5 linked regions of the Macaca fascicularis genome follow. The protein of the gene in region 1 interacts with the protein of each later gene in a pairwise test. Links are inferred from orthologs where the notes say so. Each region holds a gene or a part of one and is shown in the gene's direction. Other genes may lie near its edges.

Region 1 (5,054 bases):
CCTCCGCCTTCTGAGTTCAAGCAATTCCCTGCCTCAGCCTCCTGAGTAGCTGGGATTACAGGTGCCTACCACCATGTCCGGGTAATTTTTGTATTTTTAGTAGAGACGAGGTTTCACCATCTTGGCCAGGCTGGTCTTGAACTCCTGACCTCATGATCCACCGGCCTCGGCCTCCCATACTGCTGGGATTACAGGTATGAGCCACCACACCCAGTCTATGCTGCTACTTTCTATCATGCTGGTAAGGCCAAGAACAGAATTAAGACCTCACTGTTCTCCCTCAACATGCTTAGGGCTCTTTTATTGTTCAGCTATGTTCCCTCCTTCCCCCCGTTTCCTATCCCAAAAGGACATCAGAATTCTCCTGGCTCCCTGCTGTGAACAATGAGAGGAAGGAACACTGGTTCTTCACATGCTGCACAGATCTCATCTCCCTTGTAATCTCCCCTGAGTCCCCAGCAGAGTTCCCCTTCCTCTCATTGTCCTTGCCACCGGCTTGAACTTGTCATTTTGATCTGTCATAGGATGAGGAGCAGGACAGATCAGACTTGGTCTATGGGGCCTAAGGGAAAAAACTAGGAACAAAGGGTAAAAGATAGAGGGAGAAGATTGCAGCTCAAAGCTGCACGTCAATGGAACGGGCTGTCTCCTGACGTGAGCAGAAGCTGAACAGTGGTTGCCTGGGAGGAGATTCGGTCATCAGGGGCTAGGTAGAAAGAGGTGACCACCATTGTCTACCAGATGGTAAGGTCAAGGGCAGGGACCCTGTCTGGGGTGTCCCTATAATCCCCAGCCCTAAGACTGAGCCTTGTTCACTGCTGGTGTCTGAGGTCTGCCCACTGCATTGGAAAGAATTTGTCCTCTCAGACCCTGAGGCACCTACTGAGAGGTGACCATGGCCTGAGAGGCCCGAAGATTATACAGTCCCTGCTCCACCTGACATTTGAGACCTGCATGATACATGTAAAATTGATGGCTCAGATGAAGAGGCAGAACAACCAAGCCCGATGGCCAAGGAGAGAAGAGATTTAAACTGAGTTTGAAGGGCTCTGTTTTTTCTCCTTTTTCACCCCCATCCACAGTAATGAGTCAGGAAAATTCTGGTGTTGGAAAAAGAGTTGAGGAGGTAACATAGAAGGACAGATCAATGGTCCGGAGTGAGACAGGGAGGAGACAGGGAGCTTAGTACATCTTGACCTTGCGGCTCTGGGGAAGGTGGCACGTGTAAGCTGTAAATTCTAATCTCTGCTCTGACCACGGCCGCTGTATTAAAGAGAAAATTTCTCTTGACCCCTGCCAAGAAAACCAAAACCCAAATAATTTCTCTTGCCTCAACTTACCCCCCATCACATGAGACCTAAGAGAACATACAGGTCAGAGCTGCTTGGGAACCCCAAAAGTGGAATCTATTAGCTGCTCTGAGTCTTGATCCCTTTTATCCCCGGATACTGAGTGCCCATGAATGCCCAGAATCTGAAGCAGTCCCATTCTTTCGGGAGGGAGGTCTTTAAGAGTCTCATCGACTGATGTAGTGTGGTTAAGGTGCTGTCAGGAAGCAGGGAGATGGATAAGTTGGCTCTTAAGGCCTCTTCCAGCCTAAGCCTACCCTTCCTTGTTCCCTCCTCCCCCTACACCCACCAGCTTCTTGGGGACTAGCAAGGAGAGAGCAGGCAGGCCGCCCAGCTAGGAGTAATTGAAAGGAGCAGATGAGAGGGGAATGTGTCCTCCCCCAATGCCCCTGCCCCACAGGGGCTGCTGAGAAATGAAAACTAATCAAATTACACCCGACGGCCTCCCGACCCGTGCACAGGAGCCCGCCTGGGCCAGGGACAGGCTGGCTGGGTGGGGTGGGGGCCATGGGGGAGAGAGAAGGGGAATCACATCTAATCCACTGTAAACGTCTTGATGTGCAGCAACAGCTTAGAGGGGGCTCAGGTTTCTGTGGCGTTGGCTATATTTATCTCTGGTTCCATGCCAGCGGGGAGGGTTTAAATGGCACCCAGCAGTTGGCGTGAGGGGCTGCAGGAGCTTGGGGTCTGGTGGCAGGAACAAGCCTTTTCTGACCCCATGGAGCTGTATGAGACATCCCCCTACTTCTACCAGGAACCCCGCTTCTATGACGGGGAAAACTACCTGCCTGTCCACCTCCAGGGCTTCGAGCCACCAGGCTATGAGCGGACGGAGCTCACCCTGAGCCCCGAGACCCCAGGGCCCCTCGAAGACAAGGGGCTGGGCACCCCCGAGCACTGTCCGGGCCAGTGCCTTCCGTGGGCGTGTAAGGTGTGTAAGAGGAAGTCGGTGTCCGTGGACCGGCGGCGGGCGGCCACACTGAGGGAGAAGCGCAGGCTCAAGAAGGTGAATGAGGCCTTCGAGGCCCTGAAGAGGAGCACCCTGCTCAACCCCAACCAGCGGCTGCCCAAGGTGGAGATCCTGCGCAGCGCCATCCAATACATCGAGCGCCTCCAGACCCTGCTCAGCTCCCTCAACCAGGAGGAGCGTGACCTCCGCTACCGGGGCGGGGGTGGGCCCCAGCCAGGGGTAAGTGGCCATCCCGTCCCCCTGCCCCAGGGGGAGGGGGCCAGAGGGAGGCACCTGGACAGCCTCAAGACCCCAAGAGGGGCTCAGAGGGTTGGAGCAGGTGCCAGACAGGGTCGAGGGGCTTCAGGAGCCCTTCCCTGGTCAGAGCTGGGCTATCCAGCTGACCCCCTGTGTCCTGTGTTCTTTCCAGAGGAGATAGAGGCAGTGAGGAGGAAGTGCAGAAAGGGTGGGGGTGGGGAACACAGGACTGAAGAAAGGATCAGGAGCAAGGCCACAGTCAGCCCGGGTAAGGGTGAGGATTAATCGCAGAGCCTGAGTCAGAGCCTAAAAAGCCAGGCCAAGTTCACCAGAGAAGGCTGCTTTGCCCCCTGCCCCACCCCCATCCTGGGTGTGGCTGAGCAGAGAGAAAACCCACTCAGTCTCATTGGAACTCCAGCAGGCCTGCACAGAGTGACCTTCACTGGGCCAGAAAATCTGTCTCCATCACCCTTATCACCAGAGTCAGGAGAACCAGGGACCTTTAACCTGGGGTCCTGTGAGGGCAGAACCACCACTCAGGATGGAAGCCAAGAAGGCCTGGAAGCAGGGCCTCTAGGACATGAGAGGAGCTGGTTACTAAGATTCTGGGGTTGGGGATGGCCTGGGCTGGAAGGCCACAGCCTGTGGCCCACCCTCCAACCCCACCACAGGTGCTTCTGCCCACTGGGACTAGGCAGAGAGACACATCAAAGAACGGCTGTGCCCCGACCTTGGGCCTTCGCCCTGTCTTGCAGGTGCCCAGCGAATGCAGCTCTCACAGCGCCTCCTGCAGTCCAGAGTGGGGCAGCGCACTGGAGTTCGGCGCCAACCCCGGGGGTAAGTGAGGCTTGACCCTGGTAACCTTGACTCCAATCCCTCAGTCCCTCCCTGGGCGTTCTTCCCTCTTACCTTATTCCTTGCTCCGGTCCTCTTCCCTTGGGTCTCTCCAGGGACCTGCTGACTCCAGGACCCAAAGGGTGGGCTGGGAGGTTCTGTGTAGCCCTGCAGTCTTGACCAGCAAAGGAGTGATAGTGGCTCCTGCAGCTCCCCAGCTGATGCCTGGTGGTTGACCTTCTCCACAGAGAGGACAATGTCCCTGCCCCAGGGGTCTCTGCGAAGTGCTGAGTCAGTGCTGCAAAACCGGGCCGAGCAAAGGGCAGGTCCAGTCTCTGGGGAGCTCCATCCTGCTCCAACTTGAGTGACTGCTTCCAAACCCTACCTCACTAGGGGAGTTCAGAGAAGAGGCGCGCGCGCGCACACACACACACACACACACACACACACACACACACACACAGCATGGGGAAAGGCAGGGACTAGGGAGTAGAACTCCGGAGCTTTATCCCCCATCTGTCCTGGAAAACCTGTGTCACCCCAAGGGTCCCATCCTCTATTCTGGGCCTCAAGAACCCCCACTCCTCACCCAGGTACCACCTTCCCACCTCCCCTTACAGATCATCTGCTCACGGCTGACCCTACAGATGCCCACAACCTGCACTCCCTCACCTCCATCGTGGACAGCATCACAGTGGAAGATGTGTCTGTGGCCTTCCCAGATGAAACCATGCCCAACTGAGATTGTCTGCCAAGCCAGGCATCCTTGCAAGCCCCCCAAGCTGACCACAGATGCCACTGCTTCTGTAGCAGGGGCCTCCTAAGCCAGGCTGCCCTGATGCTAGGAAGCCAGCTCTGGGGTGCCATAGGCCAGACTATCCCCTTCCTCATCCATGTAAGGTTAACCCACCCCCCAGCAAGGTACTGGATGCCCTCATTCAGCTGCCTCCTTAGAGGACAGGGCATCCCCTTTCCAGGAAGGTAAAGCAGGGGACCAGAGCGCCCCCTCATGTATGCCCCAGTTCAGGGGGCAAACTCAGGAGTTTCCTTTTTATCATAACATGGCCTCTAATTCCACCCCCTAAGTGAAACAGTTTGAGAGACACAGACAGTGTCCTGACCTGGACAAGCTGTGCACGTCTCCTGTTCTGGTCTCTTCCCGATGCCAGTGGCTGGGCTGGGCCTGCCCTGAATTGAGAGAAAAGAAAGGGAGAGAAACAATCCTCTGTTCCCAAGTCCCTGGGGGGCCAAACTTTTGCAGTGAATATTGGGAACCTTCCAGTGGTTTTATGTTTTGTTTTGTTTTGTGTGTTGTTTGTAAAGCTGCCATCTGACCAAGGTCTCCTGTGCTGAAGTTGCCGGGGACAGGCAGGGAAAGGGGGTTGGGGGCTCTTGGGGGTGATTTCTTTTGTTAACTAAGCATCGTGTGGTTTTGCCATTGTTTTGTATTTTTTTTTTTTTTTTTGCTAACTTATTTGGATTTCCTTTTTTAAAAAATGAATAAAGACTGGTTGCCAGAAGAGTGTCGGTGATGATGCAGAGGGAGGGAAATGACTGACAGCCCTGCCCTCTCCCACTGAGCAGTCCAGACACACCCTAGTGGGCGGGGCTCCACAGCGCTGAGGGCCTCATCTTGCTGGTGGTCACTAGGCACTGGGGACCCC
Region 2 (5,081 bases), on another chromosome or scaffold:
GTATCCAAATCAGATTAAGTTGAGAGACAGCGAACTGCTAAACACCTCCCCACAACTCTAATGGACCTGAGACCCCGAGTAGAGAAACCCGGCCGTACATCACACTCAGGCTCCCTTCTCTCCCAACTACTCACAGGTACAAGAGGCATAAAAAGAACTTCCCCACCCTCGCCAAGAGTAGCGCGGAAAAAAACTCACACTGGCCTGGGCCACGCTGGCGAAGCCGCCTGACTCCCCCCGCGCGGCCAGGAACCCTGAAATGACTGCCCCGCTCCTCAGGACGGGGAAGGGGTAGCCGGGGGACCGAGGCTCGACTGGGAGGACCCGCCGGCCGTCGAGGCCCTACGTGCCCACCCGGCCCGGGGGCTTGGGCCCGCGTCGCCCACTCTGGGCCCAGGCCTGGTACCCCGCGAGGCTCGTCGCGAGCCCAGACCCCGGTCCAACTCCGCGCCCGGCGAGACCCGCACACCCCACTGAGCCACCGCGGCTGCCGCCGTACGGACCCAACCCCTAGCTACCTGTCTTCGTTCTTGTTTTTCTGTTTCTTCCCCATTGCTTGTCAACGGCGCTCGTGGCCCCAGCTCCTCTATCCGTTCTCTCACAGACCCACTGTCTCCCAGCTGACTTTGGTCTCCGCTCAGCTCCTTTCCCCCCGGACTGCCGCCGCTCGCACCCGGCTCTCCACAGACCCGCGCACTGGAACAGGGCACATATGGTGTGAGTTCTCAGTGCGCAAGCGCATCGCCCCGCCGCCTCGGCGTGAGGACGCAGGGCGCGGCTCATCGAGAGCTGCGCTTCGGGTAGAGCGTCTCCGGTTGACCCGCCGGCCAGGCAGGAGCCCGAGCGCCCCCTGCCCGCAAGCGTCCGCCGCGAGCCGACGCCCGCGCGGTTTCCAGGTTCTAGAACCCGGAGGTGGACAATGCAGCTGTCAATTCCCCACCTCAGCCCTCTCCCAACGGGGAACGCACGCTTCGGTTCAGGAGTAGGCTTTGGGCTTCCCTTTATATCTTTGTATTCTCAGCCGCACGAAGTTCAGTAAAGAACCACAACTAACTAATAATGAGTCCTCTGGGGTTTGCGAGAGAGGTAAATCCAGGACAAAATAGGGACCTCTCAGTAACATCCGTGCGTTATGCATTATGTACAGTCACTGAATAAAACAGAGAACAGGACACACCCGATCAATTCCCTAACATAGGTCTTCATCTTTACCCTCAAAGCGAGGGCGAGTTCTAAACATTCCTGTGTTTAGAAGAGTCAAGAGGGAACCTACAGGGGTGGTGGAAAATGTTCTGTATCTGGATATGGCCGGTGATATTTTGGGTTTTAACTATGGAAAAGTTAATCGTGCTGTATATGTTTATGCCTCGACTTTAAGAAGAAGAAAAATGTTAAAAGAAAACAAAACACAAAACAAAAAAAAAGAAAAATGTTTATTCAACACTAACAGAATGGTAACGCAGTTCAGGCGTCACTGCTGAGCGAGAGCACAGCTGTCTCATTTCCAGTCTCGCGCACTGGACCGTGAGTACCGAAGCACGGTCCAGAAAAAGTCCGGCCACGCCAGCCTGCGCACTAAGAAACTGCAACTCCCACCATGCCTTGCGGCCTTCCAGTTCGGCCGTGTACCGGGAGGAAAGCAAGGGTCAGACACCTCCGGTTACGGGCTGCTGGGCGGGAGGCGCACGCGCAGGATTGTCCGGCAGCCGCCCGCCCGCCCCTTCCTCTGGCGTCCAAGGTGATATCGCGAGAGGTCCGCAGCCAATAGGGAGGCTGATGTGACGGCCGGTTTGCAGCCGCCGGCAGCTACTGCAAGGCAAAAGCCGGAGTGGACCTCTCTTTTGAAACTGCTGCTGTCTCACTTCTCAGACGTCACCGAGAGCTCAGGTGAGGCAGAGGGTAGTGAGAAAAATCCGACTACCACGTCCGCGTGCTGGTGAACATGTTACTGCTCCACATCCGGAGCGGAGGAGGGGCGCCGCCCCAGCACCGGTGTCGGGGTCCTGGTGGAGGCTCTTGCGCATGCGCACCAGGAGGCGTCGAAGTTGAGGCAGCCGGGACTGTGCCTTCCTGTGTCTCCCCGGGCTCAGGGAGTGGCCGGGATGCCACTCGGGAGGTACCTGGGGTTCGGTTAAGGACCAGGCCCCTTGATTGTTTTGGTGGATACCTGTAAGGGTGTCCAGGAAATGACTAGGGAATTTGAGGACGCGCGGTGTCCCGTCCCACCGTTCCTGCGGAGCTGTAAAAAGGAAGAATCAGAGGCTGTGATTTGAAGGATGAAAAGCTAACGGGGGATTGCATCGTCTCTTTACCCCGTTCTCAATGCTCTAACCACCAACACCTACACCCAGAATAGCGCTTCTTAATCGCATCTGTTTCCAGTTATCCCATAATTAAATTCTGGCCTCATCCTATAAAATTGCAGGGATAAGCATTCTCTGTGCTTATCCCTGGAGCACAGCTTCCAACGTGCAATTCAGTATCTTATTTTCTCCTTCCAGCTTCCTCACCGAGGGTCACAGTACTACTGACATTTTTCTTGGGTGGTAGGGAGTGTGGAAATCTTTGCTGTGTTTGAAATACAGCACCTTTCCAATTTTATAGCACTCACGAGGAGCTTACAATTTGTTTTTTTAAACTCAAATACTTTTGAAACTTAGCAGTGTAGTAATTTGAATGGAAGTTAGGCACGTGTTCATTCAAGGTTAAATACATGTGTATTGAGTACCTGCTGTGTTCTATGGAGATACAAAGATGAAATCAAGTATCCTTTTCAAATGCTTTTCCTGTAAAGAAAAAGGAATCAGAACTGAAGTTTGCAAGAATATTTCTCTTCAGCTCAACGTTGATAGAGGGCCCGTGTGGGTCAGGATCTGTGTCAGAAGCTGAGTGAATGAATTCACAGTTTATTATCAAGTTTGGGGTGCTTAGGTATTATTTGCAAATGTATCATAGTTTATTGACATGCAACAGTCTCCTGCTTTAATAGCCAAATTATAAATCATTTCTGCAGTAATAATCCTGAGATACACATAAAATTGCCGTCTAATTGTTGGTATAAAATTTCTCGTACAAAATACTCCATTGTTTTAAAAATATGTAGTCATGTGCCACATAAGGACATTTCAGTTTTATGAGATTATAATACTGTATTTATTGTACCTTTTCTGTGTTTAGATACGTAAATGCCATTATGTTACAGTTGCCTGCAGTATTCAATACAGTAACATGCTGTACAGATTTGTACTAGGAGTAATAGGCTGTATGGTATAGCCGAGGTGTGTAGCAGGCTGTACCATCTGGGTTTGTGTAAATACAGTCTATAATGTTTGAAACAGTATCAGAATCACCTAATGACACATTTCTCAGAATGTATTCCCATTTTTTGTGGGTTTTTGGGTTTTGTTTTTTGAGACAGGGTCTGGCTCTGTCGCCCAGGGTGGAGTGCAAGTGGTGCGACCTCAACCCACTGCAACCTCCGCTTCCTAAGTTCAAGCTATCCTCCTCCCACCTCAGCCTCCCTAGTAGCTCGGACTACCGCCACACACCACCAGGCCTGGCTAATTTTTCAATTTGTAGTAGAGACAGGGTTTCATCATGTTCCCAGGCTGGTCTCAAACTCCTGAACTCAAGTGATCTGCCCACCTTGGCCTCCCAAAGTGCTGGGATTATGGACGTGAGCCATAGCGCCCAGCCTAGAATGTATTCCCATTGTTAAGTAATGCATGACTCTAATTGAGATGGGTCTTTGTTTCTAATCTGAATGAGTTCTATTTTGAAACTCTTTGTACAGAGGAGTGATGATGGAAAAAAAAACCCAAAGTTTTAAAAAGTATTTGGAGTGTTTTACATCAAAGTTAAGAACACTGTCAGTAAATGGAAACCAGTATTAATTTTTGTGGCCTCAGATTTTTTTTTTTGTTAGGTAATGGGAGAACGGGAATGGACATTAATGCTTAGGGAACACCAGGCACTGTTCTTTACATAAGTGGTAATAAGACGTCTTAGGAGTTAAATGAAGCTCATTTGGGCAGCAGCCATGAAAAAATGTGTTTTGCTCAACTCTATTCTGTGTGTTTCAGTAAGGTTAAATATATATATATATATATATGTGTGTGTGTGTAAAACCTCAGTAGGTATACCTTTCTATTGTTGACAGTTGTTTCTGACTTCTCTTACCCATTGGTAAAGAACACTGATTATCAGTATATATCACTAGGTATAACTTCACAACTCATTTATCTGTGGTTTGGTGATGGTCTTAAAGACTTGCCTTGGCTTTAGTGTAGTAGAACGTACGCTAAATCAGAAGCACCCTAAATTTGCTATAAGTGGTTTTTGAGTGGTGTGACTAGAACCTATTGAAAATTAAATTTAAAAACACATAAAAATTCTTAAGCCCAACATCAGGGGCTTGGATGTCTTTAGAATACTCCATAGAGTACACATACACGTGCCAGAATTTTTGAAAACAGTAGAGAAAGCCGGGCGCAGTGGCTCACGCCTGTAATCCCAGCACTGGGAGGCCGAGGCGGGCGGATCACAAGGTCAGGAGATTGAGACCATCCTGGCTAACACAGTGAAACCCCGTCTCTACTAAAAATACAAAAAAATTAGCCGGGCGCGGTGGTGGGCGCCTGTAGTCCCAGCTACTCAGGAGGCTGAGGCAGGAGAATGGCGTGAACCCGGGAGGCGGAGCTTGCAGTGAGCCGAGATCGCGCCACTGCACTCCAGCCAGGGGGACAGAGCGAGACTCCATCTCAAAAAAAAAAAGAAAATGGTAGAGAAAAGCTGGCTTATTGTTTGCATTTTTTAAAATATAGTTTGTAAATCTCCCCAGCACCCAGGCTGAACTTTGCACCATTCGGCAGAATGGAAGCTGATGCATCTGTTGACATGTTTTCCAAAGTCCTGGAGAATCAGCTGCTTCAGACAACCAAACTAGTGGAAGAACATTTGGATTCTGAAATTCAAAAACTGGATCAGATGGATGAGGATGAATTGGAACGCCTGAAAGAAAAGAGACTTGAGGCCCTAAGGAAAGCTCAACAGCAGAAACAAGTAACCTCTCTGCTCTGCTT
Region 3 (4,917 bases), on another chromosome or scaffold:
TCAAGCAATTCTCCTGCCTCAGCCTCTTGAGTAGCTGAGATTACAGGCGACTGCCACCACGTCTGGCTAATTTTTGTATATTTAGTAGCGATGGGGTTTCACCATGTGGACCAGGCTGCTCTTGAACTTCTGACCTCAGGTGATCCACCCGCCTCAGCCTCCCAAAGTGCTGGGATTACAGATGTGAGCCACCGCACCCGGCCTTGTGAAGCATCTTTTAAAATGTTTTCTCCATTCTCTAGACTGTTTCTTATTGAGTGTTGAGAGTTCTTTATACATTCTGAATACACGTTTCTTTATCATATATGTGTTTTGTGAATATTTTCTTCTAGACTGTGGCTTACCTTTTGTTTTTCTTAATAACACGTGAAGTAACATTTATGGGAGACCATTGTTTTGGAGCAAGCTCCTGCACAAGGTACCAACGGACCAGACCAAACCAGAATGGAACCGCTAGTGCAAGGTGCCACGTAATCAAAGCGAACTTAGAGACAGGCCAGTGTGCCAAAACACAAAAGATTCACTGCAACCAACAGAAGGGGCCCTGTCCACCTAGGCTGGCATAAGGAAGCCCCCTCTCCTTTAACCCATACAAAGAAACGCATCTGAAATAACCTGATGCCAACCAATCGCTTTGTGCACTACGCTGTTTCCTTGTTCCTGCTCAAGCTACCTTACAAAACCCGGCTGCTGTGCCACGCCTGTCGGGGTATCTCCCCAGTTCACACATGGGGGGGGGGCCCTTTCCGGCCGCCTGCTGGCGCCCTCATGCAGACGCCGGGGCTTCCTTGACCCGTACGGCTCGCGCGGCTGTGGGCAGCTTTCTGGCCTGTTGAGAAGCCCGAGCCGTCTGCGCGTGCGCGAGACCCGGGCCTGGCCTGCCTCTGGCCGCCCATAGTGCTCCCGTCCTCCGCTCCACAACCGGATTCCGACGGCGAGCGCGCTGTGCCTTGGACCCGGGAAGGCCGGCTTCCTAAGTATAGTGCATTCTTTGTTTTTTTTTTTTTTTGAGACAGAGTCTCGTTCTGTCGCCAGGCCGGAGTGGAGTGCAGTGGCGTGATCTCGGCTCACTGCAACCTCCACCTCCCGGGTTCAAGTAATTCTTCTGCCTCAGCCTCCCGAGTAGCTGGGATTACAGGTGTGCGCCACACACTTGGCTAATTTTTGTATTTTTTGGTAGAGACGGGGGTTTCGCCATGTTGGCCAGGTTGGTCTCTAACTCCTGACCTGAAGTGTCAGCCCGCCTCGGCATCCCAAAGTGCTGGGATTATGGGCGTGAGCCATCGCGCCCGGCCGAGTATCGTGCATTCTTTATAGAAATGAGGGGGAAATAAGCATTATGGGAAGCGCCTAGCGCAATGTCAAGCACATAGTAGGTACTTAGAGTCTGTCAGCCAGCGCGAAACGTCCGCAAAGCGTTTAAACACAGGCCCAGAAGCCGGGGAGCTTGCAGCCCCCATAGAAGCTGGGATCACCACGCCCTCTGCCCTAGACGTCTCAGGAGCGCCCTCTGCCCGCCCGCTCTCCCTGTACGCGTGCACGAACCGCGGCGCCTTCGCTTCCCTTCTTATTTGTCCCTGACCGTGCGCCGTCCAAGGGTCCTTTGGTTGCCATAGAGACCGGCGAGCGCTGGGCCTGTGAGCGCTGAGGGGCGAGCAGCTGCCACCCTGGGCTTCTGGGGACCTGAGCGTCATGTCTTTCCGCGACCTCCGCAGTAAGGCAGCCCCGCGCCCCTGTGACCTGCAGGTCTTCCAGAGAGTCAGGTCTCCCGCCTGCCGGGTCCCCTATGTAGGCGACCCCTGAGGTTTGCGCTGCCAGAGCCTCCTTTCGGGCCTCTGCGCCTCAAGGAACGCCTCTGACCCGCGGCTGCAACCCCGCCCAGTGCCCCAGGCCCTTCTTAGGCCATTTCTAGCGAGGATGTAAAGTTCTTTATCTGCCACTGGCCGCGTTTGGCTCAAAGCGCTCGAAATGTGGCTAGTGCAGATGAATAACTGAAATTTTAAGTGTAACTCATTTCTATTTGTGTAGCTGCATGCCGCTGTTAGCTACAGTATTGGAAAATGCATGGATAATTTAGAGACAATTTTTTGAGTTGGGTTTGCTTAGCTCTTAGAAAACCGGGCTTGGTGGCTCACGCCTGTAATCTCAGCACTTTGGGAGGCCGGGGCGGGCGAATCACCTGAGGTCGGGAGTTCGAGACCAGCCTGACCAACATGAAGAAACCCCGTCTCTACTAAAATTACAAAATTAGCCGGGGGGTGGTGGCGGGCGCCTGTAATCCCAGCTACTCGGGAGGCTGAAGCAGGAGAATCGCTTGAACCCGGGAGGAGGAGGTTGCGGTGAGTCGAGATCGGACCATTGCACTCCAGCCTGGGGGACAAGAGCGAAACTCCATCTCAAGCAACAAACGAACAAACAAAAACAAAAAACCCCAAACCAAACCAAAACAAAAAAACAGCAGCGAAACCGAGGAGAGGGGCTGGGTGATGATCATTGCAGCTAACATTTTTTGAGTTTTAACGATGTGCCAGGGCCCACTCTGTGTTATGTGCATTTCATTTTAATCATCTGAACAACTGTACCGCCTGCATCTGGAAGTGAGGAAACGGGCACAGAGAGGTCAGGTAACTTGAGCAGGTGACACAGGCGATAGGAGGTGGCACTGGGGATTGAATTCAGGTTGCCTGAACTCCAGACCTCCTGAACTCCGTCTGCATCCTTTCTGCAGGGCTGGTGAGGAGAAGGGAGCTCGAATTCCTTTGCTAAGAGGGTGGGGAAGTGGAAGAATGAGGCTAAGAGTGTTGGTTACGACGGGGCACAGTGGCTCACGCCTGTAATCCCAGCACTTTGGAAGACTGAGGCAGGCGGATCACTGAAGTTCAGGAATTCAAGACTAGCCTGGCCAACATGGTGAAACCCCGCCTTTGCTAAAAATTCAAAAAATTAGGGCATGGTGGCGCACACCTGTGGTCCCAGCTACTCGGGAAGCTGAGGCAGGAGAATTGCTTGATCCCTGGAGGCAGAAGTTGCAGTGAGCTGAGATCATACCACTGCTCTCCATCCTGGGCGACAGAGTGGAACTGTCTTTAAAAAAAAAAAAAAGGAATAGTAGATGATTGCCAATTTGGTGTGATCTTAGGGGTCTCTTAAAGAGTCAATTTTCTCAGCAAATTGCTGGTGCCTGAAATTTTAGCATTAGAGATTACTCCTTTGGTTATGAATTGCTCTTTTCTACAATATAAAAATATCTAGGAGGCCGGGCGCGGTGGCTCACACCTGTAATCCCAGCACTTTGGGAGGCCAAGGCGGGCGGATCACAAGGTCAGGAGATCGAGACCACGGTGAAACCCCGTCTCTACTAAAAATACAAAAAATTAGCCGGGCGCGGTTGTGGGCGCCTGTAGTCCCAGCTACTCGGGAGGCTGAGGCAGGAGAATGGCGTGAATCCGGGAGGCGGAGCTTGCAGTGAGCCGAGATCGCGCCACTGCACTCCAGCCTGGGCGACAGAGCGAGACTCCGTCTCAAAAAAAAAAAAAAAAAAAAAAAATATCTAGGAAAACGCATTACCTTTTATTCATGCAGCCACTGAGCACCAGAGTGTGAATCCTGTCCTCTGGAGTTTGAAGGTTTTTGGTGGCCACACATCATACAGGATGAGTGTCTCCTCCCACATAGTTTTTAGAGAGGCCAGCACCCTGCCAGGGGACGTAGAATGGGGTTTTGTTGGGAAGACCATACACGGAGATTTCAAAATATTTTGACCTTAAATTAATGCTCTGCAGTTGTGCGTTGTATGGTAAGGATCTTACTCAAATTAGTCTCTATTTTGACAATAACACTGCAACATTAACAGAACTTGACTAGTACCTAGTAGTCAGAAGTATTTAGGCAGTGCCTTACTGTGTGAAGGAAAGGCTGTTCTCTTGCCCAGACTGGAGTGCAATGGTGTGATCTTGGCTCACTGCAACTTCTGCCTCCCAGGTTCAAGTGATTCTCCTGCCCCAGTCTCTTCAATATCTGGAATTATAGGTGCCCGCCACCACGCCCACCTAACTTTTGTATTTTTGTTTTTATTTATTTATTTATTTTTGAGATGGAATCTTGCTCTGTCGCCCAGGCTGGAGTGCAGTGATGCAATCTCGGCTCACTACAAGCTCCGCCTCCCGGGTTCACGCCATTCTCCTGCCTCAGCCTCCCGAGTAGCTGGGACTACAGGTGCCTGCCACCACACCTGACTAATTTTTTTGTATTTTTAGTAGAGACGGGGTTTCACCGTGGTAGCCAGGACGGTCTCGATCTCCTGACCTCATGATCCGCCCGCCTCGGCCTCCCAAAGTGCTGGGATTACAGGCGTGAGCCACGGTGCCCAGCAACTTTTGTATTTTTAGTAGAGGTGGGGTTTCACCATTTTAGCCAGGCTGGTCTTGAACTCCTGACCTCAGGTGATCTACCCTCCTCGGCTCCCAAAGTGCTGAGATTACAGGCATGAACCACCCGCGCCTGGCCTTTTTTTGTTTTTCTTTCTGAGACAGGGTCTCACTCTGTTACCCAGGCTGAAGTGCAGTCACATGATCTCAGCTCACTGCAACCTCCTGGGCTCAGGTGATCCTCACACCTCAGCCTGCTGAATAACTGGGACCACAGGCATGCACCACCACACCCAGCTATTTTTTTTTTAATCTCCATATTCACATTTCCCAGAAAACAGTTACAGAGTCCCTTTTGTGACTTTGCTGTTTCCTGTGCTCACACTTTTTCTTCCATTGTCTTGCGAAGTCTGACCTGACTTCCAGTACCGGGGTAGGTTATTTGTGAACACTGATGGACCATTTTGAACATGGATCTTCAAGAAGAGTGCAGACAGACCTTAAATAACCAGGAAGCACACTGAATGTAAATCTTGGTACATCATGGGAG
Region 4 (5,098 bases), on another chromosome or scaffold:
TTGAAGGTCGAAATTACTCCTTGATCCATGGGCTGCAGAATGGATGTTGTGTTAGCGGGCATGAAAACAACATTAATCTCCTTGTATATCTCCATCAGAGCTCTTGGATGACTAGGGGCATTGTCAATGAGCAGTAATATTTTGAAAGGAATCTTCTTTTCTGAGCAGTAGGTCTCAACAGTGGGTTTAAAGTATTCAGTAAACCACACTGTAAACAGATGTGCTGTCATCCGGGCTTTGCTGTTCCATTTATATAGCACAGGTAGAGTAGATTTAGTATAATTCTTAAGGGCCCTAGGATTTTCAGAATGGTAAACAAAGCATTGGCTTCAACTTAAAGTCACCAGCTGCATTAGCCCCCAACAAGAGAGTCAGCCTGTCCTTTGAAGCTTTGAAGCCAGGCACTGACTTCTCCTCTCTAGCTATGAAAGTCCTAGATGGCATCTTCTTCCAACAGAAGGCTGTTTCATCTACATTGAAAATCTGTTGTTTAGTGTAGCCACCTTCATCAATGATCTTAGCCAAAGCTTCTGGATAACTTGCTGCAGCTTCTACATCAGCACTAGCTGCTTCACCCTGTGCTTTTATGTTGTGGAAACGGCTTCTTTCCTTAAACCTCATGAACCAACCTCTGCTAGCTTCAAACTTTTCTTCTGCGGCTTCCACACCTCTCTCAGCTTTCATAGAGTTGAAGAGAGTTAGGGCCTTGTTCTGGATTAGGCTTTGGCTTAAGGGAATGTTGTGGCTGGTCTGATCTTCTATCCAGACCACTAAAACTTTCTCCATATCAGCAATAAGGCTGTTTCGCTTTCTTATCATTCGTGTGTTCATTGGAGTAGCACTTTTAACTTCCTTCAAGAACTTTTCCTTTGCATTTACAACTTGGCTAACTGTTTGCCGCAGGAGGCCTAGCCTTCGGCCTATATCGGCTTTTGACATACCTTCCTCACTGAGTTTAATCATTTCTAGTTTTTGATTTAAAGTGAGAGACGTGCGACTCTTCCTTTCACTTGAGCACTTAGAGGCCATTGCAGAGTTATTAATTCGCCTAATCTCAATATTGTTGTGTCTCAGGGAATAGAGAGGCCCAAGAAGAGGGAGAAAGATGGGGAACAATCTGTGGGTGGAGCAGTCAGAACACACACAACATTAAGTTCGCGGTCTTATAAAAGACGCTGTATGTGGCACCCCAAAACAATAGCAACATCAAAGATCACTGATCATAGATCACCATAACAGACACAGAAATCATGAAAAGTTTGAAATATTTTGAGAATTACCAAAATGTAACACAGAGACACGAAGTGAACACATGCTGTTGGAAAAATGGCGCTAATACAATTGCTGGACTCAGGGCTGCCACAAACCCTCAATTTGTTTTTAGAAAGTCCTATCTGCGAAGCGCAATAAAACGAGGTATGCCATAGTATAGTGGCGCTGCCGCCAAAGGAAAGCCTCGGGAAGGTTAAGAGAGATACCGGAGAGTGCGTCCGGCACTGGAGGAGGAGGAGGGTTTTTACCAGGCAGCGAGTCCAGAGCCCGCGCTGTCAACGACGCGGTGCTGCCTTTTTTCGGAGGCGCTGCAGGAGGGCGCCTGGACACGCTCCCTTAGGAGAGCGGGCAGGTCACAGGACCTGGACGGCGACAAAGCTGAGACCTGAAGCCAGCTCCGCCGCTGAGGCCAACCCTCTGCGCAGCCGCCCTGGGCTGGCGTCCCGAGATAGACGCCCCCAAACCGGGCCTGCGCGTGGACGTTCCGCTGTGCCCCGCGCAAAACCGGAAGTACCCGGGCCTAAGGCTGAGGGACCCGGTGGAGCGGAAGTCACTCCCTGAGGCAGTGGCGACAGCCGCGGCGAGAGGATGAACAACAAGTTCGACGCGTGAGTGGCTCGTGGCCGCCCCCGGGGCCCCTTCCCCCAACAGTTCCCCCGCGCCCGCCCCCACTGGGGCTAGGGCGGCGCAAACCCGGCGGCCCCGGCTTCCCTGCCGGGATCAGGCTGCGGCCGGACCTGGCCTGGGCTGGCGGGGAGGAGGGGGCTGGGGAGCGATGGATCCCGGGGTCCCGGAGACCCCAGGGCCGTCCGAACCGAGGGCGAAGAGCTGAGCCCGGGGGAGGGGTGGCTGTGCCGCCCGGTAGGGGGAGATTTTCGGACGCCCCGCCCCGGTGGATGCGGATTGCCGACGACGTGGAGGGGTGGGGACCTCGGCGGTTTGGGTGTTTCCGCAGTCTGGCCGCGCTGTCTCTGAATCCAGCTTTCCCCACACACTCCCTCTCCCCTCTGAGCCTCAGTTTTCTCATCTGCAGAGTGGGGACGGTAACACCCTTTGTCGTAGAGTTTGGAGGATGCAATGAGGTAATGTGGCGGCTGCCCTCGACGCGGTGGAAGGCTGGCTTAGGAATTAGCATCTTCCTGAGACTCTTCCTACTTTCTTTCTCCTCCCACTCCCGTTCCCGTCTTCCAACACACTCGCCAAGACTTGGGTATACTTGTCGCCCTCTCTTGCCCGCTCCGGTTTCTAGTTTCAGCATCAAACAGTTTGGAGGTACAGAGGGAAAATGCAGAAGTATTTTTACTTATTCCCCTCCAAGGATTGTATCTTGAGGTAGAATATGTTCCTACCTCTGTTCCAGTAGTCTAGTAAATCTGCCTCTTCATCTGAAAGCCTGGATTTGTAGTCCCAGATTCACCACTTACCAGCTGTTTGACTGTGGAAAAGTTACCCAGTCTCTGAGCCATTGTTTCTCAAACCACGTTAGTGGTTAGTACCCTGCTGCCACAGCGGGGTGTGATAAGGGTCAAATCACACTCAGCAATGCTTAAAGATATTTGTGAAACATTGCTAACTACTGAGATATAAACGTAAAGTGGAACTACTATTAGTTTAGGTTGTGATCTTGTGCTTTTGATGGGAAATTAGGGTTTTTCCAATGCAGAGAGTACTGTGCAAATTCAAAGAGTACTGGATTTCCAACACTCCAGGCAGGTAGGTCCTCAGGCATGTTTGCTGGTTGCTGAGAGGTCTCTGCTACTTGAGAAAGTCTTTGCCCGACCTCTTCTCTATCCTTAGGTTTAACTGAGCCTATCCCTCTACGAACCTCTCCCACACTGCCGTCCCATTTCATCTCTATCGTAAACCCTGCAACACCTAGTTCCAGATCCACATCCTGCCTCAGTGGAGCTTTCTGGAACCTTTATACCCCTTCCTCCACTGATTTGCACAAACCAAATTTCATCCTAAGAAGACATCTTATGGGTCATCTAGCTCAGGCCTACCTAAATCATTTGGGGGTCTGCAGTAAGAATGGTAATAATGGACTTCCACAGGGATCTTGCTAGGTACTTTTCATATATATATGTTTTTTGAGCCAGGGTCTCACTGTGTCACCCTGGCTGGAGTGCAGTGGTGTGATCACAGCTCACTGCCCACTCAACCTCCCGGGCACCAGCAATCCTACCATCTCAGCCTCCAGAGTAGCTGGGACTACAAGCATGTGCCACCCTGCCTGGCTAATTTTTTTGTATTTTTTGTAGAGACAGGGTTTCACCATGTTGCCCAGGCTGATGTCCAATTCCTGGACTCAAGAGATCCACCCACCTTGGCCTCCCAAAGTGCTGAGATTACAGGCGGGAGCCACCACCCCCAGCCTCATATGTTATTTCTACTCTAACAACTCTGTGAAGGGGATCTTGTTATCTCCTTTTACAGATAAGGAAAAGGAGACTCTGAGATTAAGTAATGCCCAAGACAACAGGAAAGGAAGGGCTATCCCAGGTTTGTTGTGTAACCTTGGTTCAAGCACCTTGTGAGAAAAATTAAACTTGTCCACTTTTTTATCTTAGCTCTTCTATGATTGAAGAACCTGGGTCATTTTAATCACTTTGAATTATTAACTATTATATTGAGCCAGAATCTTTTAACATCTACCCTCTAGCATTGCAGGAAGAAGAAAAACAAGCTTTCTTTCATTTGAAATTAGCAATTGAAAACAGCACTCCTGCCCCTAGTTTTATTTTTTTATGTTGTTTTTCATTCAGAAATTCTGCAGTTTTTAGGCCATTGCTGCATATTTGGAGTCTTTATCACATTGCTCTCTTTACTAATCTGCACTCTTTACCACATTGCTCTTAAGGACATGTTCCAGTTTGCCAGAATTCTTCCAGAAGTCCAGTGGCTGGAGCTGAGTACAGTAGTATATAATCTAATGGGCTCATATTAAAGATTAGCTCTAATCTCCGTTACTGTATGGACTCAACTTCTCTGAATGAAACCTTTGATTATAATTGCTTTTGTGGAGAGGGGGTAGACCTATCAAGTCCTTAGATTGCATTGCCAGTGATCCTATTGATATGTAAAACCCTAAGATGCTTTCACAAAAACTGCAGTCCTGACGTAGTTAAACATGGTTTTCAGATCTAGACCACTGTACTTGATTTTGTCCGTATTCTACATCATTTGCTTTTTATTCTGTATCGTTAACTTTGGGCCCATTCCTAACTATTGTCTAAACCACGTATTTGGCACTCATTGCTTTGATTCTATAGACCCATTCATTAAATGGAAATTTGTTTTATGCCACTGTCTGATGGTGGGGGTATAAAGATGAATTGAACCAAGGTCTTGCCCACAAGGAATTGGTCTAGTTCAGAGGGTGAGGAAATACCTGGGCAGAAGCTTAGCAAGCTAACTAAAGTTCCTCTCAGTCTGGACAGCCTCAGAGTTGCTACCTGACTGCCTGAGTTTACAGAGCACTGATTTTTCAGGCTGAGTGGTATCTTGACTCAAATCCAGCTTGAAGCTGGGAAGAGTAGCTTATAAGATTTGCCTTAAATATAGGCTTAGAGGGCAGAGTAGTTGGTTAGTTCCACCCTCAGGTAATAAAAGCACTAGGTGTAGGTCCATTAGGGTTCCCATTTACTGTCTTAGAAAGGAATCCGAAGTGGTCCAGGGATCACAGGAACATTGTTTCTTCTCTGACAATTATTTTTGTTAGTTTTTTCTCTGTTTCCTGGTAGTGATAAGCAGCAAAACCACTAAAAAGAAAGGAAGGTATATGCTTTTCTTGGGACTAGCAAAAACAAGATGCTGGGATGACTAT
Region 5 (4,499 bases), on another chromosome or scaffold:
CCCTGCCTGGGCTGCTCGGAGCGGCTCCTCTGTAGGGCAGGGCCTGACCTCACACCCCACGCCCCAGTGGCTTCAGCTCCCTGCCCAGCGCACGGGCTACCTCCATCGGGGCACTTAAGCAGGGTCAAGGTTTGCGCCGACTCCGTCTCCCAGAAATCAACATGGACCAGGTCCGCTTAAAAAATACGCATTAGAGAGGCCGGGCGCGGTGGCTCAAGCCTGTAATCCCAGCACTTTGGGAGGCCGAGACGGGCGGATCACGAGGTCAGGAGATCGAGACCATCCTGGCAAACACGGTGAAACCCCGTCTCTACTAAAATACAAAAAAAAATTAGCCGGGCGAGGTGGCGGGCGCCTGTACTCCCAGCTACTCGGGAGGCTGAGGCAGGAGAATGGCGTGAACCTGGGAGGCGGGGCTTGCAGTGAGCTGAGATCCGGCCACTGGACTCCAGCCTGGGCAACAGAGCCAGACTCTGTCACAAAAAAAAAAAAAAAAAATACGCATTAGTTGTAGACAGACGTCTCGTCCATAGGTCCCCAGACTGTGTGTCCACAACGCAGGGCTTCTCTTTGTGGGCCTGAAAGAGCACACGTCAGGCAAGACACGACGGCAACTGCGGAGACACTGTTTTCAGGGCCAAGGAGAATTCTCGGAGTCTGTGAGTTGCCTCCAAAACAGCCCCCAGGACACGCAGTCCCAGAGACACCGCAAAGCTCGAAACAGACATTTCATTCCTCCCCATTTCCACTCCCAGAAAACGACTGGGCCCTTGAAAGAGCTCCAAGGTATCCCCAAAGTCCCAGCCAGTCTTTGGAGGGTTTCCGAGGGCTGTCCAGGGTTCCAGAAGTCATCCTACCTCATACAATGCTCCTCCTGGGCTTCCCGCACTGGGGAACCCCACGGCTCCAGAACAACTGCCCTTTCCAACTTGCAGAGCACCTCAAGGACCTAAAGATCTCCCCGGGGGAGGGCTCCAAAATATAGAGTTTGCATCGTGAACTCCCACCTCTGTAAAGCCCAGGACTCCAGTCCTCGCACCCCTCTGTCTCCCAGAGATCCCCAGGGGTCCAGAAATACCACCTCACTGCCTTCCAAGCTTCCCAAGGATCCGGAGACTCCTTATCTCGCAGCACAAACCTCAGGCAACTACAGGTCCTCCCTGCACCTCTGAGTTGCCCCTCCCCCCACTCAAGATTCCAGAAAAATCCATGCCCTCCAAAACCCCAGAATCTGACTTACTTTCCCGAGGCACCCCCAGGACCCCAGGGTCATCAGTTCACAGGACTCTTAATGCTCCCATAAAACTATAGTCTCCCAGAGGAACCCCAGCCCCCACCCCCCACCCCCCCGCCCACGAAACCCTCCATTCCTCGAATCGGCCCCAGGGCCCCAACCCCCGCAAGCCCCCATTTCACAACACACTCGCGCTGCAGGCGCGTGACTTCCCCCTGCTTTGGGGCGGGGGCTGAGACTCCTGTGTGCTCCGGATTGGTCAGGCACGGACTTCGGCCCCGCCTCCTGCCACCGCAGATTGGCCGATAGCCCGCTCCGAGCGCCCCGCCTCCGAGGGCCAGCGCACTATAAAAGAAGCCGCCCTAGCCACGTCCCCTGGCAGTTCGGCGGTCCCGCGGGTCTGTCTCTTGCTTCAACAGTGTTTGGACGGAACAGATCCGGGGACTCTTTCTTCCAGCCTCCGACCGCCCTCCGATTTCCTCTCCACTTGCAACCTCCGGGACCATCTTCTCGGCCATCTCCTGCTTCTGGGACCTGCCAGCACCGTTTTTGTGGTTAGCTCCGTCTTGCCGACCAACCATGAGCTCCCAGATTCGTCAGAATTATTCCACCGACGTGGAGGCAGCCGTCAACAGCCTGGTCAATATGTACCTGCAGGCCTCCTACACCTACCTCTCTCTGGTGAGTCCCCAGGACGCCCCTGGCCCTAATTTCCCCCAGCTGCGCACGTTCGGCCCTCAGCGCAGGCGCCGGCCTTCTTTGTCCGGTCGAGTAAACAGAGGGCAGAGTCCCCCTTGGCCTCGCCTCCCGCTAAGCGTTGTTCCCTCCATCTCTTTCCTTAGGGCTTCTATTTCGACCGCGATGATGTGGCTCTGGAAGGCGTGAGCCACTTCTTCCGCGAATTGGCCGAGGAGAAGCGCGAGGGCTACGAGCGTCTCCTGAAGATGCAAAACCAGCGTGGCGGCCGCGCTCTTTTTCAGGACGTCAAGGTAACTAGTGTGTGGGTAGGGTAACGGACTACATCTCCCAGCAGGCCGTGCGCGCGAGGAGCCTTGATTTGAGGGCTTAGATGTCGCGTGGGCTTCGGGGAGATTGAGTTCGGTCTTGTGAGCCCTTTTACGGCTGGAAATAGAGGCGCACGTCGTGCAGTGCCCCCAGGACGCGGCAGTCCACACTGCTGCGTAGACGTAAGGACGTGTAGCTGTAAGAGCTAGGACGGGGTGCGGAGAGTGATAAATACAAGCTGTCACATGTCTTTGTGGCCTGGGCCTCTGACCCCCACCAACTCTTGGGAAATGTAGGTTTAGTTCCATGTGCCGAGTGTGTGTATTCTGAAGCCGTTTCTCCCTTCTGTATAGAAGCCAGCTGAAGATGAGTGGGGTAAAACCCCGGATGCCATGAAAGCCGCCATGGCCCTGGAGAAAAAACTGAATCAGGCCCTTTTGGATCTTCATGCCCTGGGTTCTGCCCACACGGATCCCCATGTACGTACCCCCTGCATCCATGGCTACCCAACCATACCCCTCAAGCCTTTGCTCTCTTTGGGCAAATTCCCTTCAGAGCCTCATTTAACACCTGTCATATTTTAATCTGCAACTGGCAGCTCTTTCTCCCTCTTTTCCAGGGATCGGGTTTCCTTTTTTTTTTTTTTGAGACGGAGTCTCACTCTGTCGCCCAGGCTGGAGTGCAGTGGCCGGATCTCGACTCACTGCAAGCTCCGCCTCCCAGGTTCACGCCATTCTCCTGCCTCAGCCTCCCAAGTAGCTGGGACTACAGGCACCCGCCACCTCGCCCAGCTAGTTTTTTGTATTTTTTTTTTTTTTAAGTAGAGACTGGGTTTCACCGTGTTAGCCAGGATGGTCTCGATCTCCTGACCTCGTGATCCGCCCGTCTCGGCCTCCCAAAGTGCTGGGATTACAGGCTTGAGCCACCGCGCCCGGCAGGGATCGGGTTTCTAATTTCTCCCTCTTCTCTCTCAGCTCTGTGACTTCCTGGAGACTCACTTCCTAGATGAGGAAGTGAAGCTCATCAAAAAGATGGGTGACCACCTGACCAACCTCAACAGGCTGGCCGGCCCGGAGGCTGGGCTGGGCGAGTATCTCTTCGAAAGGCTCACTCTCAAGCACGACTAAGAGCTTTCTGAGCCCAGCGACTTCTGAAGGGCCCCTTGCAAAATAATAGGGCTTCTGCCTAAGCCTCTCCCTCCAGCCACTAGGCAGCTTTCTTAACGACCCTAACAAGCCTTGGACCAAATGGAAATAAAGCTTTTTGATGCAGTTGGTGGTTTTGTGTGTGGTATGGAAGATGAGGTGGGATCTGTTCTCATAAAGCTTCTGGCTGGGTTGGGGATGCCAGTGAAAGAGGAGTTGGCCCCATCTCCCATTTTCTTATCTCTTCTAAGACAAGAAGCTATCTGGGTAGTGTTGAACTTGAGGGTTCTCTGCTTGCCTGGCTGTTAACTGTCCCTCCCAGATGGCAGAGATAGCCTCCAGGGAGTTGAATTAAGACCTAGGTTGGTACCTGGACACAGATCTGTTCGGTTTCAGCCAGAAACAGCACTATTTAACGAGTGATTATGAGGCCAGGTGGGCCGATCAGCTGATGTCAGGAGTTCGAGACCAGCCTGACCAACATGGAGAAACCCCGCCTCTACTAAAAATACAAAATTAGCCGGGTGTGGTGGTGCATGCCTGTAATCCCAGCTAGTCAGGAGGTTGAGGCAGGAGAATCGCTGGAACCTGGGAGGCGGAGGTTGCGGTGAGCTGAGATCAACGTCATTGCGCTCCAGCCTGGGCAACAACAGCGAAACTCTGGTCTCAAAAAAAACCCAAAAACCATATCTGCCTCACGGAGGTTGCAGTGAGCTGATATCGCGCCAATGTGCTCCAGACAGGGCAATGGAGTGAGACTGTCTCAAAAAAAAAAAAAAAAAAACAAACCTCAATTCTGGGAGGCAGCTGAAATTATTAGGCCCTTTATATGGGCACATTGAGGCTATTGCTGTGCAACTTGCATGGCAACCAGGAGGCTCACTGAGGTCTTTGCTCCAGAGTTTACAGATTATGGCCCAAGCTTCAGTAATCCCAATGTGAGGCGCACACTGAGAGGAACTGACAGGCGGAGCTGAGCGGCCAGGCACACGTGATGCCCAAGCAATGCTGGACAAGGGGTTTAGGGTTCATCATAGAAATGGGATGTGAAACTTTGGGCCAGATTCTCCAAGTGGGAACTGAAAAAGCTGAAAACAGGCCTTAAAAAGCATCTG

Evidence for each region.
Region 2: the proteins of MYOG (region 1) and TXNDC9 interact in binary tests that used the Homo sapiens proteins (3 or more experiments, as listed by UniProt). The two-hybrid records come from large-scale screens. The link is inferred for Macaca fascicularis from reciprocal best matches to the Homo sapiens genes MYOG and TXNDC9.
Region 3: the proteins of MYOG (region 1) and CLUAP1 interact in binary tests that used the Homo sapiens proteins (3 or more experiments, as listed by UniProt). The two-hybrid records come from large-scale screens. The link is inferred for Macaca fascicularis from reciprocal best matches to the Homo sapiens genes MYOG and CLUAP1.
Region 4: the proteins of MYOG (region 1) and EIF4E2 interact in binary tests that used the Homo sapiens proteins (3 or more experiments, as listed by UniProt). The two-hybrid records come from large-scale screens. The link is inferred for Macaca fascicularis from reciprocal best matches to the Homo sapiens genes MYOG and EIF4E2.
Region 5: the proteins of MYOG (region 1) and FTL interact in binary tests that used the Homo sapiens proteins (3 or more experiments, as listed by UniProt). The two-hybrid records come from large-scale screens. The link is inferred for Macaca fascicularis from reciprocal best matches to the Homo sapiens genes MYOG and FTL.

What each region holds. Positions count from the first base shown.
Region 1 is NC_088375.1:60,896,182-60,901,235, reverse strand, and holds MYOG (myogenin), read left to right. Parts: upstream 1-2,015; 5' UTR 2,016-2,067; coding exon 2,068-2,538; intron 2,539-3,311; coding exon 3,312-3,393; intron 3,394-3,465; exon of another isoform or gene 3,466-3,636; intron 3,637-3,983; coding exon 3,984-4,132; 3' UTR 4,133-4,907; downstream 4,908-5,054. UniProt on the Homo sapiens protein: Acts as a transcriptional activator that promotes transcription of muscle-specific target genes and plays a role in muscle differentiation, cell cycle exit and muscle atrophy.
Region 2 is NC_088387.1:3,828,722-3,833,802, reverse strand, and holds the start of TXNDC9 (thioredoxin domain-containing protein 9), read left to right. Parts: upstream 1-1,792; 5' UTR 1,793-1,887; intron 1,888-2,020; exon of another isoform or gene 2,021-2,116; intron 2,117-4,840; 5' UTR 4,841-4,872; coding exon 4,873-5,061; intron 5,062-5,081. Other genes in the region: EIF5B (eukaryotic translation initiation factor 5B), read right to left, coding at 519-553. UniProt on the Homo sapiens protein: Significantly diminishes the chaperonin TCP1 complex ATPase activity, thus negatively impacts protein folding, including that of actin or tubulin.
Region 3 is NC_088394.1:4,273,938-4,278,854, forward strand, and holds the start of CLUAP1 (clusterin-associated protein 1), read left to right. Parts: upstream 1-1,628; 5' UTR 1,629-1,692; coding exon 1,693-1,714; exon of another isoform or gene 1,715-2,339; intron 2,340-4,917. UniProt on the Homo sapiens protein: Required for cilia biogenesis. Appears to function within the multiple intraflagellar transport complex B (IFT-B). Key regulator of hedgehog signaling.
Region 4 is NC_088386.1:128,466,014-128,471,111, forward strand, and holds the start of EIF4E2 (eukaryotic translation initiation factor 4E type 2), read left to right. Parts: upstream 1-1,809; 5' UTR 1,810-1,860; coding exon 1,861-1,880; intron 1,881-2,202; exon of another isoform or gene 2,203-2,349; coding exon of another isoform or gene 2,350-2,354; intron 2,355-5,098. UniProt on the Homo sapiens protein: Recognizes and binds the 7-methylguanosine-containing mRNA cap during an early step in the initiation. Acts as a repressor of translation initiation.
Region 5 is NC_088393.1:56,947,576-56,952,074, forward strand, and holds FTL (ferritin light chain), read left to right. Parts: upstream 1-1,611; 5' UTR 1,612-1,813; coding exon 1,814-1,915; intron 1,916-2,076; coding exon 2,077-2,223; intron 2,224-2,592; coding exon 2,593-2,718; intron 2,719-3,213; coding exon 3,214-3,366; 3' UTR 3,367-3,510; downstream 3,511-4,499. Other genes in the region: apoptosis regulator BAX, read left to right, coding at 534-953.